Rattus norvegicus: one gene and its partners. The protein of the gene in region 1 purifies or fractionates together with the protein of each later gene. This does not show direct contact. Links are inferred from orthologs where the notes say so. Each region holds a gene or a part of one and is shown in the gene's direction. Other genes may lie near its edges.

Evidence for each region.
Region 2: the proteins of Mex3c (region 1) and Mycbp2 purify together in Homo sapiens (affinity purification with mass spectrometry; 3 studies listed by BioGRID and IntAct, with this or other methods). This does not show direct contact. The link is inferred for Rattus norvegicus from reciprocal best matches to the Homo sapiens genes MEX3C and MYCBP2.
Region 3: the proteins of Mex3c (region 1) and Ap2a1 purify together in Homo sapiens (affinity purification with mass spectrometry; 3 studies listed by BioGRID, with this or other methods). This does not show direct contact. The link is inferred for Rattus norvegicus from reciprocal best matches to the Homo sapiens genes MEX3C and AP2A1.

What each region holds. Positions count from the first base shown.
Region 1 is NC_086036.1:69,459,765-69,462,165, forward strand, and holds part of Mex3c (RNA-binding E3 ubiquitin-protein ligase MEX3C), read left to right. Parts: intron 1-1,082; coding exon 1,083-2,308; 3' UTR 2,309-2,401. UniProt on the Homo sapiens protein: E3 ubiquitin ligase responsible for the post-transcriptional regulation of common HLA-A allotypes. Binds to the 3' UTR of HLA-A2 mRNA, and regulates its levels by promoting mRNA decay.
Region 2 is NC_086033.1:86,394,530-86,398,183, reverse strand, and holds part of Mycbp2 (E3 ubiquitin-protein ligase MYCBP2), read left to right. Parts: coding exon 1-916; intron 917-2,008; coding exon 2,009-2,178; intron 2,179-2,729; coding exon 2,730-2,974; intron 2,975-3,654. UniProt on the Homo sapiens protein: Atypical E3 ubiquitin-protein ligase which specifically mediates ubiquitination of threonine and serine residues on target proteins, instead of ubiquitinating lysine residues.
Region 3 is NC_086019.1:104,547,722-104,551,963, reverse strand, and holds the start of Ap2a1 (AP-2 complex subunit alpha-1), read left to right. Parts: upstream 1-1,308; 5' UTR 1,309-1,421; coding exon 1,422-1,488; intron 1,489-4,242.

The sequences.
Region 1 (2,401 bases):
AGGCACAGTTGGAGTTGTATATATGTATTGCCTGGGTTCAGGATTGTGTATCTAAAAAGCCTTAGTTTTAGCTTAACCATTAGTGATTTGCTGGACAAGAGAGGAAGAGAGGGCTTAAGAAAAAGGCCTGCCCAAATTGTAGCTACCATCTTCCACGCACCTCCTTTATGTATTTTAGGAAATAATTGTATGGTGTCATGAGAATCAATTTATTCTGGGAATCTGTTGCTTTCTTTGAAAACTGTAACTTCAGAGATTTAAGCCATAGTCTTGTATTTGACAGTTTGGAGACCTAGTTAAAGTTAGGGATTATGAAAAATTAAATGTATCTCCCGTGTTTTATTTTAACTTAGATACAGTTGGAGGTTAAGACCAAAGCTTCTAGTTTGGCTTTAGAGGTGATCCTCTAGCCATTTTCCATGAGTCTTCACTAATTTTTTTTAAATCAATCAAGAACTTAACAATAGGCAAAAATTAATTCTACATTACTTTTTTTAATGCTATACTTTTGTGGTTGTCTCCCTGGATATAACTAAGAGCTGAAGAAAGATAGCCACTAGCCATGAACATATTTGTCAATAGAATTTTACAAAGGAGTCATGTTAACGCAATAAAATAAATCAAGTAAAATTTGTAGAGTATGTGAAAATTAAAATTCCTGGACTATGAAAAGACTATAGATTTCAACATCACATGACCTTATCTGTGTCTCATATGTTAGTATTTTCCTTGCCACCAACATCTTTGCAAAGTAAAAGTTCAACCCTACAGATTTATAGTTTGCCTATAGACTATTTTGTACATCTTTTCAATGTGTGACTGAGAAAGAGAAATAGACTTGAGCTTTGACCTCCCAGGAGAGGTTCCCACTCTCCCAAAAGAGTGAGTGGCAGACAAGCACACCTCCATGACTAGCAGTGTTGCATTGAATTGGGGGGTGTCATCGGTTAATGTTAAATTTTATGATAAAGAAACTATTAAGAACTGTGCACTAAAGAGCTTTAGTTTACAGACTTTTCTTAGTTTGCCTTTATAGATAGTTTTAAAGTAAATACTGATTCTGAAATGTTTTCTTTTAACAGGTTGTAAAATTAAAGCACTGAGAGCCAAGACAAACACGTATATCAAGACACCTGTCCGCGGTGAAGAGCCCATTTTTGTTGTCACTGGACGGAAAGAAGATGTTGCCATGGCCAAGAGAGAAATCCTTTCGGCTGCAGAGCACTTCTCTATGATCCGTGCATCTCGGAACAAAAATGGCCCCGCGCTTGGAGGGTTATCGTGTAGTCCTAATCTGCCCGGTCAAACCACAGTCCAAGTCAGGGTCCCCTATCGTGTGGTAGGGCTAGTGGTTGGACCAAAAGGAGCAACAATTAAGAGAATTCAGCAACAGACCCACACATACATAGTTACTCCGAGCAGAGATAAGGAGCCAGTCTTTGAAGTCACAGGGATGCCGGAAAATGTTGATCGAGCACGAGAAGAAATAGAAATGCATATTGCCATGCGTACAGGGAACTATATAGAGCTCAATGAAGAAAATGATTTCCACTATAACGGTACCGATGTGAGCTTTGAAGGTGGCACTCTAGGCTCTGCGTGGCTCTCTTCCAATCCAGTTCCTCCAAGCCGAGCAAGAATGATGTCCAACTATCGAAATGATAGTTCTAGTTCTCTAGGAAGTGGTTCCACTGATTCCTATTTTGGAAGCAATAGGCTGGCTGACTTTAGTCCAACAAGCCCGTTTAGCACAGGAAACTTTTGGTTTGGAGATACACTACCGTCTGTAGGCTCAGAAGACCTTGCAGTAGACTCTCCTGCCTTTGACTCTTTACCAACATCTGCTCAAACTATCTGGACTCCATTTGAACCAGTTAACCCACTCTCTGGCTTTGGGAGTGATCCTTCTGGTAACATGAAGACTCAGCGTAGAGGAAGTCAGCCATCAACTCCTCGTCTGTCTCCTACCTTTCCTGAGAGCATAGAACACCCACTTGCTCGAAGGGTTAGGAGCGACCCACCTAGTACAGGCAACCATGTTGGCCTTCCAATATACATCCCTGCTTTTTCTAATGGTACCAATAGTTATTCCTCTTCCAATGGTGGTTCCACCTCTAGCTCACCTCCAGAATCAAGAAGAAAGCACGACTGTGTGATTTGCTTTGAGAATGAAGTTATTGCTGCCCTAGTTCCATGTGGCCACAACCTCTTCTGCATGGAATGTGCCAACAAGATCTGTGAAAAGAGAACGCCATCATGTCCAGTTTGCCAGACAGCTGTTACTCAGGCAATCCAAATTCACTCTTAACTATATATATATACATAAATACTATATCTTATATGGACTCATAAAGGCATGGGTATAATGGTATACCCCAGTAAACTTCCTAATGAATTCTTA
Region 2 (3,654 bases), on another chromosome or scaffold:
TTTAAGAGTGTGGATGAAGGTTCAAATAAAGTGCACTTCAGCATAGGAAAAGCACCACTGAAAGATGAACAGGAAATGAGAGCATCACCCAAAATAAGTCGGAAATGTGCTAATAGACACACCAGGCCCAAAAAAGAAAAGTCTAACTTTCTTTTCAAAGGAGATGGAGCCAAATCTTTAGAGCCAGCCAAGCAAGCCATGTCCCCGTCCGTGGCTGAGTGTGCCCGAGCTGTCTTTGCCTCTTTTCTGTGGCATGAAGGCATAGTACATGATGCAATGGCCTGCTCTTCCTTCCTGAAGTTTAATCCTGAACTTTCCAAAGAACATGCTCCCATAAGAAGTAGTTTGAATAGCCAGCCACCCACAGAGGAAAAGGAAATCAAGTTAAAAAATAGACATTCGTTGGAAATATCATCTGCCCTAAATATGTTCAACATTTCACCTCACGGACCAGACATATCCAAGATGGGAAGTATCAACAAAAATAAGGTCCTGTCTATGCTTAAGGAGCCACCTCTACATGAGAAGTGTGAAGACGGAAAATCGGAAGCCACTTTTGAAATGTCCATGCATCACTCAGTGAAGTCTAGGTCTCCGCTCCCCTTAACATTACAACACTTAGTGGCCTTCTGGGAGGACATCTCTTTGGCTACAATCAAAGCTGCTTCCCAGAATATGATTTTTCCAAGTCCAGGTTCCTGTGCAGTCCTTAAAAAGAAAGAATGTGAGAAAGAGAATAAAAAAACGAAAAAGGAAAAAAAGAAAAAAGAAAAGACAGAAATTCGGCCAAGGGGCAATTTGTTTGGTGAAATGGCCCAGCTGGCAGTAGGAGGGCCAGAGAAAGATACCATCTGTGAGCTATGTGGGGAATCCCACCCATACCCAGTGACCTATCACATGAGACAAGCTCACCCAGGTAAGCGGTTTTGTGGTATATGTATATGTATGCTTTGGTCCTGATAAGCTAGATCAGTCACCTTCTTGGGAACTGCCCTCCGAATTATATCAAAGTATGGGGAAACAGTTGCCCAAATAAGTAGAATCCTACATCATTGACCACCGTGAATATTTCTTTAAAGAGATGGAGAAATTCTAGTAGAATAGTTTCTTTAAAGAGATGGAGAAATTCTAGTAATACTCTGATCAAGAAATATGTTTTTTCCTTGGAATGTGGCAAATTTTAAAAATGTTTTAAGTATTTTATGTATTTCCCAAAAGATGACACGAAGACCTTACACAGTATAAGTAATGGCATGTCTAAACAAGAGGGACAGCTTTGTATTAGAGCCTCTAATTCAGGGCCCTGCTCAGAGGTTACCAGTTAAATGGAGTGTACAGAACAGGATGGGGAATTTTCCATGTAAGTGATAATCAGTTGTTTAATCAGAGAACTGCATGTTTGGTAAATATTTTTATATATTTATATTCTAAAGCTTACTTCATATATGATTGTTTTCTTCTTTTTTCACTTTGATGTTAGAAACATTTGATTTCTGAAACATGCCATCCTTTTATATGTGTCTATTTTACTGACATTCATAAGTAGATCTAAAGATACCCATGCCCTGTTTCTTTAATGTACTCATCTAACAATAGAATATCTCAAGCATTTTGAGCATCCTCTAATTGATAATTTTTTTAAATCAGGCATGCTGTTTTTCTCTAATGTATATACACCTTTTAAACAATTAGGTACTTGCTAGGGTTTTAGTTTGGAAAGATGCACATGTTGCTGTGATAATATCAGTAATGAAGATCAGGGACGGGGCTGGAGAGATGGCTCAGCGGTTAAGAGCACCCGACTGCTCTTCCAGAGGTCCTGAGTTCAATTCCCAGCAACCACATGGTGGCTCACAACCATCTGTAAAGAGATCCGATGCCCTCTTCTGGTGTATCTGAAGACAGCTGCAGTGTACTTCTATATAATAAATGAATAAATCTTAAAAAAAAAAAAAAAGAAGATCAGGGACATTCAAAATGTTAAATATTTGTCTTGTGTTTTTTCAAGGTTGTGGCCGATATGCTGGTGGACAAGGATACAATAGCATTGGGCATTTTTGTGGAGGATGGGCTGGTAACTGTGGTGATGGGGGAATGGGAGGAAGCACTTGGTACCTCGTATGTGATCGCTGTAGAGAAAAATACCTCCGTGAAAAACAGGCTGCTGCAAGGGAAAAGGTATTTTTATTCCACTCAGGCTATATTATTTATGACATGTATGTAACTCATCAGAATACATAATCATACCATTGCATTAGTTCTATGTAATTGATATTAAAGTATAGCAAAAATAAAATACAAATTCAATATTTGTTAAGTCAACTGGTTCTAATCTAATATTTCGGTACAAATGATGTGCTGACAAATGTTTATGATGTGATTCCTAACTGCCTCCCACACCGCACATACATGGACACTTCACTGTTTCTGTTCCATGTACTCTCCTCCTCTTTCTTGTCTTTTCCTTAAAATCCAATCATACCATAGAACTCATAGAAATTGGAGATCATTCCTGCTAATGACAAACCATGTCAGAGACCTCTGCTAAAGCTTCATTCCCCACATGACTCCTCCCATGTTCCCCAGTGGTGGGTTAGTTGTTTTAATAATCAAGAGCACAGTTTTAAAATACTTTTTCATGTCTTTTTTTCTTAGAAACAGCAAAAGTTAAGAATTATCTTTTTAAATATACGCAGGAAACAGTCAGTTCTCTTCTCTTTTTTTGCCAGGTCAAACAATCGAGAAGAAAGCCAATGCAAGTAAAGACGCCCCGTGCCTTGCCCACCATGGAAGCACACCAGGTGATCAAGGCCAATGCCCTCTTCCTGCTGTCCCTGAGCAGTGCGGCCGAGCCCAGCATCTTGTGCTACCACCCTGCAAAGCCATTCCAGTCTCAGCTGCCCATTGTGAAGGAAGGCGTTTCTGAGGCCCTTCCTGTTAAAATGCCCTGTCTCTACTTGCAGACATTAGCTAGGTAATAAGACTTTGTTGTTGATTTTTAATTGCCTTTGGGCTTACAGCTTCTGATGATCGATGGCGTACTGTAAAGAGGTTCAGAACTTGCTCTCCTGCTCATGCTGTCACAGAGAGTGGAGAGTGCAGGACACAAACCTCCAGGGTTTGCCTTCTCCATTGCCCTGATCGATGTGACTGGGAGCAGAGAGCATTTTATGCTTGTGGGTGCTCTATCAGTTTGTTCTGTTACGATTAATACAAAACATGTCATAAAAAGAAAGCTTGCATGTTTTATTCTCTGTTAGTTGACTTGAGTCTGTTGGTCAGAACAGGGTGCCGAAGAGGAAAGGAAAGAAACTGTTGTCTCCTGTACACGTTTTTATTTGTTCTTTTTACCCTTAAACAAAACCAGCAGAGTAAGAAGGGCACCAGAAGGAGTAGTAAACGTCCTGACTGTAGTCAACAGTGGTGGGAAGAAAACCTTGACAGTGTCGTGCTGGGTTTACTCAAAGTGAAATGTGAATAGGATGCTGGAAAAGCTTACACAGTACTTGAGACTTCCTCAGCCCATAACGAAGCACTTCCCAGGAGTCTGCCATTGCCATACACTTGTGTGACACTGAAGGACTGACGAATAGAAATCCAGTGGGCGAGAGACAGGAGGGGAGCAGTTTCCAGCAGAGCACATTCAAGTGAAAG
Region 3 (4,242 bases), on another chromosome or scaffold:
AGTGCTCTACCACTGAGCTAAATCCCCAATCCCAGAAAACTGCCTTCTATTGACAAGGATTCAGTGTTGCCCCCTTCCTAGGTCCCAGGTCACACCTTCTAGACCCATTCTGCGGGTGTCAAATTAGAAAAGACTGTCTGGGGTGCCATTTTGTTAATGGGGACAATAGACATGGACCCTTCCAAGTCCCTTTGCCCCAAATTTCTCAATAGCTGTTGCATTGGCGGTCATTGGCGGTCTGGGGGCTTTGCCTTCCCTGCAACCAGTGAACCAAAGAACCTAGGGAGTTGGAGGCCAAACAAACTGACCTAGTCCTCAGCTGTGGCTTTAACTGGCTTTTTCCTGGGTGGTTCTCCAGAACTGATGGAGAAGCAATTTTGATCTTATGACCATTATATGCAGATTGTCTTGGGTACTGGGATTTAGGGAGGAAAGAAGAGCAACCTATAATGAAGGATGTTTAAAAAACCAAAATCGTAATCCCACAATTTTCCATTTTTGAGTTGTGTAGTCTCGGGTAAGCCATTCGATCTCTTTTGACCTTAGTGTTTACGGTAACAAGCCTTGACTGGCAGTCCCTCCTCTCATGGATAATAGATTTCTAGAGAAGTCAAATTTCCAGGTGTTGTTTTTAGGGAAGGAAGAGGGAAGAGGCATGCTCCTGAAGCTGAGGCGCAGGCGTGGAGACGGACTGTGAAGAGGGAAGCGCCTGCGTAGTGGACACCTCACAGTCTACTGCCTCACCCAGCCCCTCTCTGCAGCAGGGAATTGCAGGCATCGCTCCACCTATCGCAGCTCAGCTGACTGACAGGCCTTCTTTCTCCTTCCTTCTCTACGGGTCGTCGCCTTTTTGCCCGCCCCCCACAACCGCCCCTTCGAGGGCGGAAGTATGACGCTTCCGGCGAGTCGCCAGAGCCTTGCGGAGTGCGATTTCCTCACCCATTGGTCTTCTTTTCCTGAAGTTCCGCCTCCGTCAGACTCTTACATCCCTCCCTCCTGGCGCGGAGCTGATGGTCCATCCAATTAGCGTTGGTTTCAGCCGTTTAGGGGGCGGTTCCAGAGTGTGTCATCGAACTCCGCCTGTCTCTAGGGCAACGCCCCCTGCCTCCCTGCTCCGAACGGAAATAGCCCAGTACTGCACCAATCATCGCCATGTATCTTTACTATTCAGCCAATCAAAGAGAGAGGAGGGCGGGCATTCTATTGTGAGCGGCAGGGCTTTCAGCTAACAAGTGGAGTACGTTCCCGGATGACAATTCGTAGGGGCGGGTCTGAGGCGGGGCGTCGGCCTGCAGCCAGCCCGCCGCTAGCCCGCCCTCCCCCGGCCGGCTCCTCGGCGCCGTCTGGGGTCCTTTCCGCCCGGTGCTGCCAGCCAGCCCCGCGCCCGTTCGGCCAGGCCTGGAGCCGAGCCCTTCGCCATCATGCCGGCTGTATCCAAAGGCGATGGCATGCGTGGGCTTGCCGTGTTCATCTCCGACATCCGGAACTGTGAGCTCACGACCGGGGCCTGGGGGTCACGCGGAGACCGGGCGGAGGGAGCGGGGAAGCGCGGGGGTGTCCTCCCGAGAACGACCAGGGTGGCGCGGGCGGACGTGGCGGGAGGAGGTGGAGGGAGTAGGGCCACGGGTTAGGTAGGTCATTCAGTGCCATCCGGAGCCTAGATGGGGGAAATCAGGGATGCAGAGGAGGTGGGAGGCGGGCAACCACCTAGGGCCAGGGGCCAGAAGTTGGGGAACAGCCCAGGAACCAGAGATGATAAGATTGGGGCACAGCAAGAAGATTAAAGATAGTAAAGTGGGAGGACAGCAGAGGAACTCGAGATGATAAATTGGGGGGGAACAGCGGAGCGACTAGAGATGGAAGTGGGGGGAATCAGAGTAACCAGAGATGACGAAGTGGGGAGATACCAGAGGAATCAGAGATAGAAATGGGGTGACAGCAGAGGGACAGAGAAGATAAGGTGGGGGACAGCAGTGGGATCAGTGACAGAATTGGGAGAATTGCAGAAGAAGCAGAGAAGATAAGGTGGGAACAGCACCCTAGGGCCCAGAGATGATAAGGTGAAGGCATGGAAGAGAAACTAGAGATGATAAGGTTGGGGAGACAGCAGAAGGACCAGAGATGAAGAGGTGGGGGACAGAAGACCAGAGGTGATGTATAAAAAGACTCTAGATGGACGAGTGCATAAAAGACATGGAACATACCAGGTGTGCTTGTGCAGGCCTTTAATCTCAGTACTCAGAGACACAGGCTGGCTGACCTCTGAGTTCAAGGCCAGCGTGGTCTACAAAGTGAGTTCCATGACAGCCTGGGTTACACAGGCTGGAAAAGCCAATGCCCCCCTGTTTCTACCCCCCAAACCCAAAAACATGGAAGGCATTGAAGAGGCTATATACAAGAAAAAGAGGAAATATAGACATAAAGTCTTTGGGAAATCCAAGGTACCAGCATGACCTGGGAAGGTATTACATGGTGAGTGTTTATGATGAAGGCAGACCCCTAGGAGGAGGCAAGGCATCTGAATACTCTGTGGGAAGAGATCTAGCAAGCTGGGGGCGTAGGGAGCTTTGCACCCTGAGGAAGGGAACAGGGCAGCCCTGGACCCAAGCCTTCCTTGGCTTATCCCAGCAATCCGAGGGCCTTGATCCCTTCTAGGAAGGGTTATAAGACTGGGATGCCCTGGCTGCTGGTGAGCTCCAGGAAGCAGATGCTGGTGTCTGCAGCTGCCAGGAGCCTTCAGAGGGTCCATGCGTGGATGTGGTCAGCCAGAGCTGGCTTTGTGTATAGAACTCTATCACTGTGTGACCTTGAAGGAGGGACCTCACTTCTCAGTTTATTCATGTCAGGAGAGGCTGCTGATGGCTTCCTAATGAGAGGTGGCTGGGCTGATGTGGGGTGAGGCTCTAGGCCAGATCCTTAGTAGCTGCTGTTGGCATTGGCTAAGATCTAAAGAACGACTCCTCCACGCTGCTCAGGGTAGGATCTTGAGCTCAGTAGGTGTCAGCAAAAGGACAGTGGGAAGGTGTATGCTCCCTTATATGAGAGATGCTTTGGACCCAGTGAGAAGAGGTGGAACCAGGAAGGGCAGTAGACTTAGCATGGGCACCTATTAAAAATGGCTGTGCTTTATCTCTGTTAACTACTGGTGGGATGACCCTCTGTACCCCACTTAGCCTCTTTGGCTGACTCCATTTCTAATAGTATGTTGCTCACAGGGGTTTGATGGCTCGTTTATATGATGAATTCTGTTCAGCTCCTCCTATGTATCAGCCCCTGTTTGCAGTACTAGGCCTACAACCACATAGGATTCCTAGCCTCAGAGTTGGGACTGGTGTCTAGCAGTAAAGCACCTGCCCCGCATCTCTCTGTGAAGGGCTGAGGCCACAGCTTGGTAGTAGAGCATCTGCCCGGGGTGACCAAGGTCCTGGGTTCCATCCCTAGCACCACAAAGACAAAACAAAACAAAATCCACATCGTTTGGGGTGTCCATTCCTTAGGAAAGATAGAGTAAACAGAAGGGAGCACAGGATGTTTGCCATTGGCTGGTGCTGTGGGCTAAGTACATGTCAGTATCGGACTTGAGTGAGGACTGAGGAGAGTTGGAGGCTGAGGGACTCTGGGCACTGTAGCTTTTCTGTGGGTAAACTAAGAGCTGTAGGATGCTTTTGGGAAGAGGCAGGAAGTGGCTCGCTGGATTCCTTTAGAACCAGGCATGGTGGGGCTGACAGGAGGCTGGTGAGTTTCAGGTTGGCTTAAGCAAGACCGAGTGTCAAGTAGAAAGTCTCAACTGTTGAATGATTGATTGCCCTGTCTGCTGTGAGAATAGACTTGAGAAGTTGGGATGACAGCTGGCAACCAGAGCAAAGGGAGCACAGACCTAGGGCAAGTGTGAGAACTGGACTGCTCAGATGTGAGCAGAAACAAGGGGCTGGAGTTGCACGTCGTCAGCGTAGCATTTGGAAGGCCACAGCGCCAGGATGGTGAGTATAAGGACAGTCTGGGCTCTATAGCAAGACTTGGCTCAAAAAATAAAACAAAAAACAACAGAAGCCAACACTAAGGGGGCTGGAGAGGTGGCTCGGCAGTGAAAAATGTTTGGACCTTAGTACCCATGTCAGTTGGTTCACAACTGCGTATAACTCTGTGGGATTTCACACCCTCTTATGGCCTCCAAGGGCATGTGCATGCATGTATTTAGACATACACTTAAATAATCCAAACAAGATAAAAGATTGGCCAGGT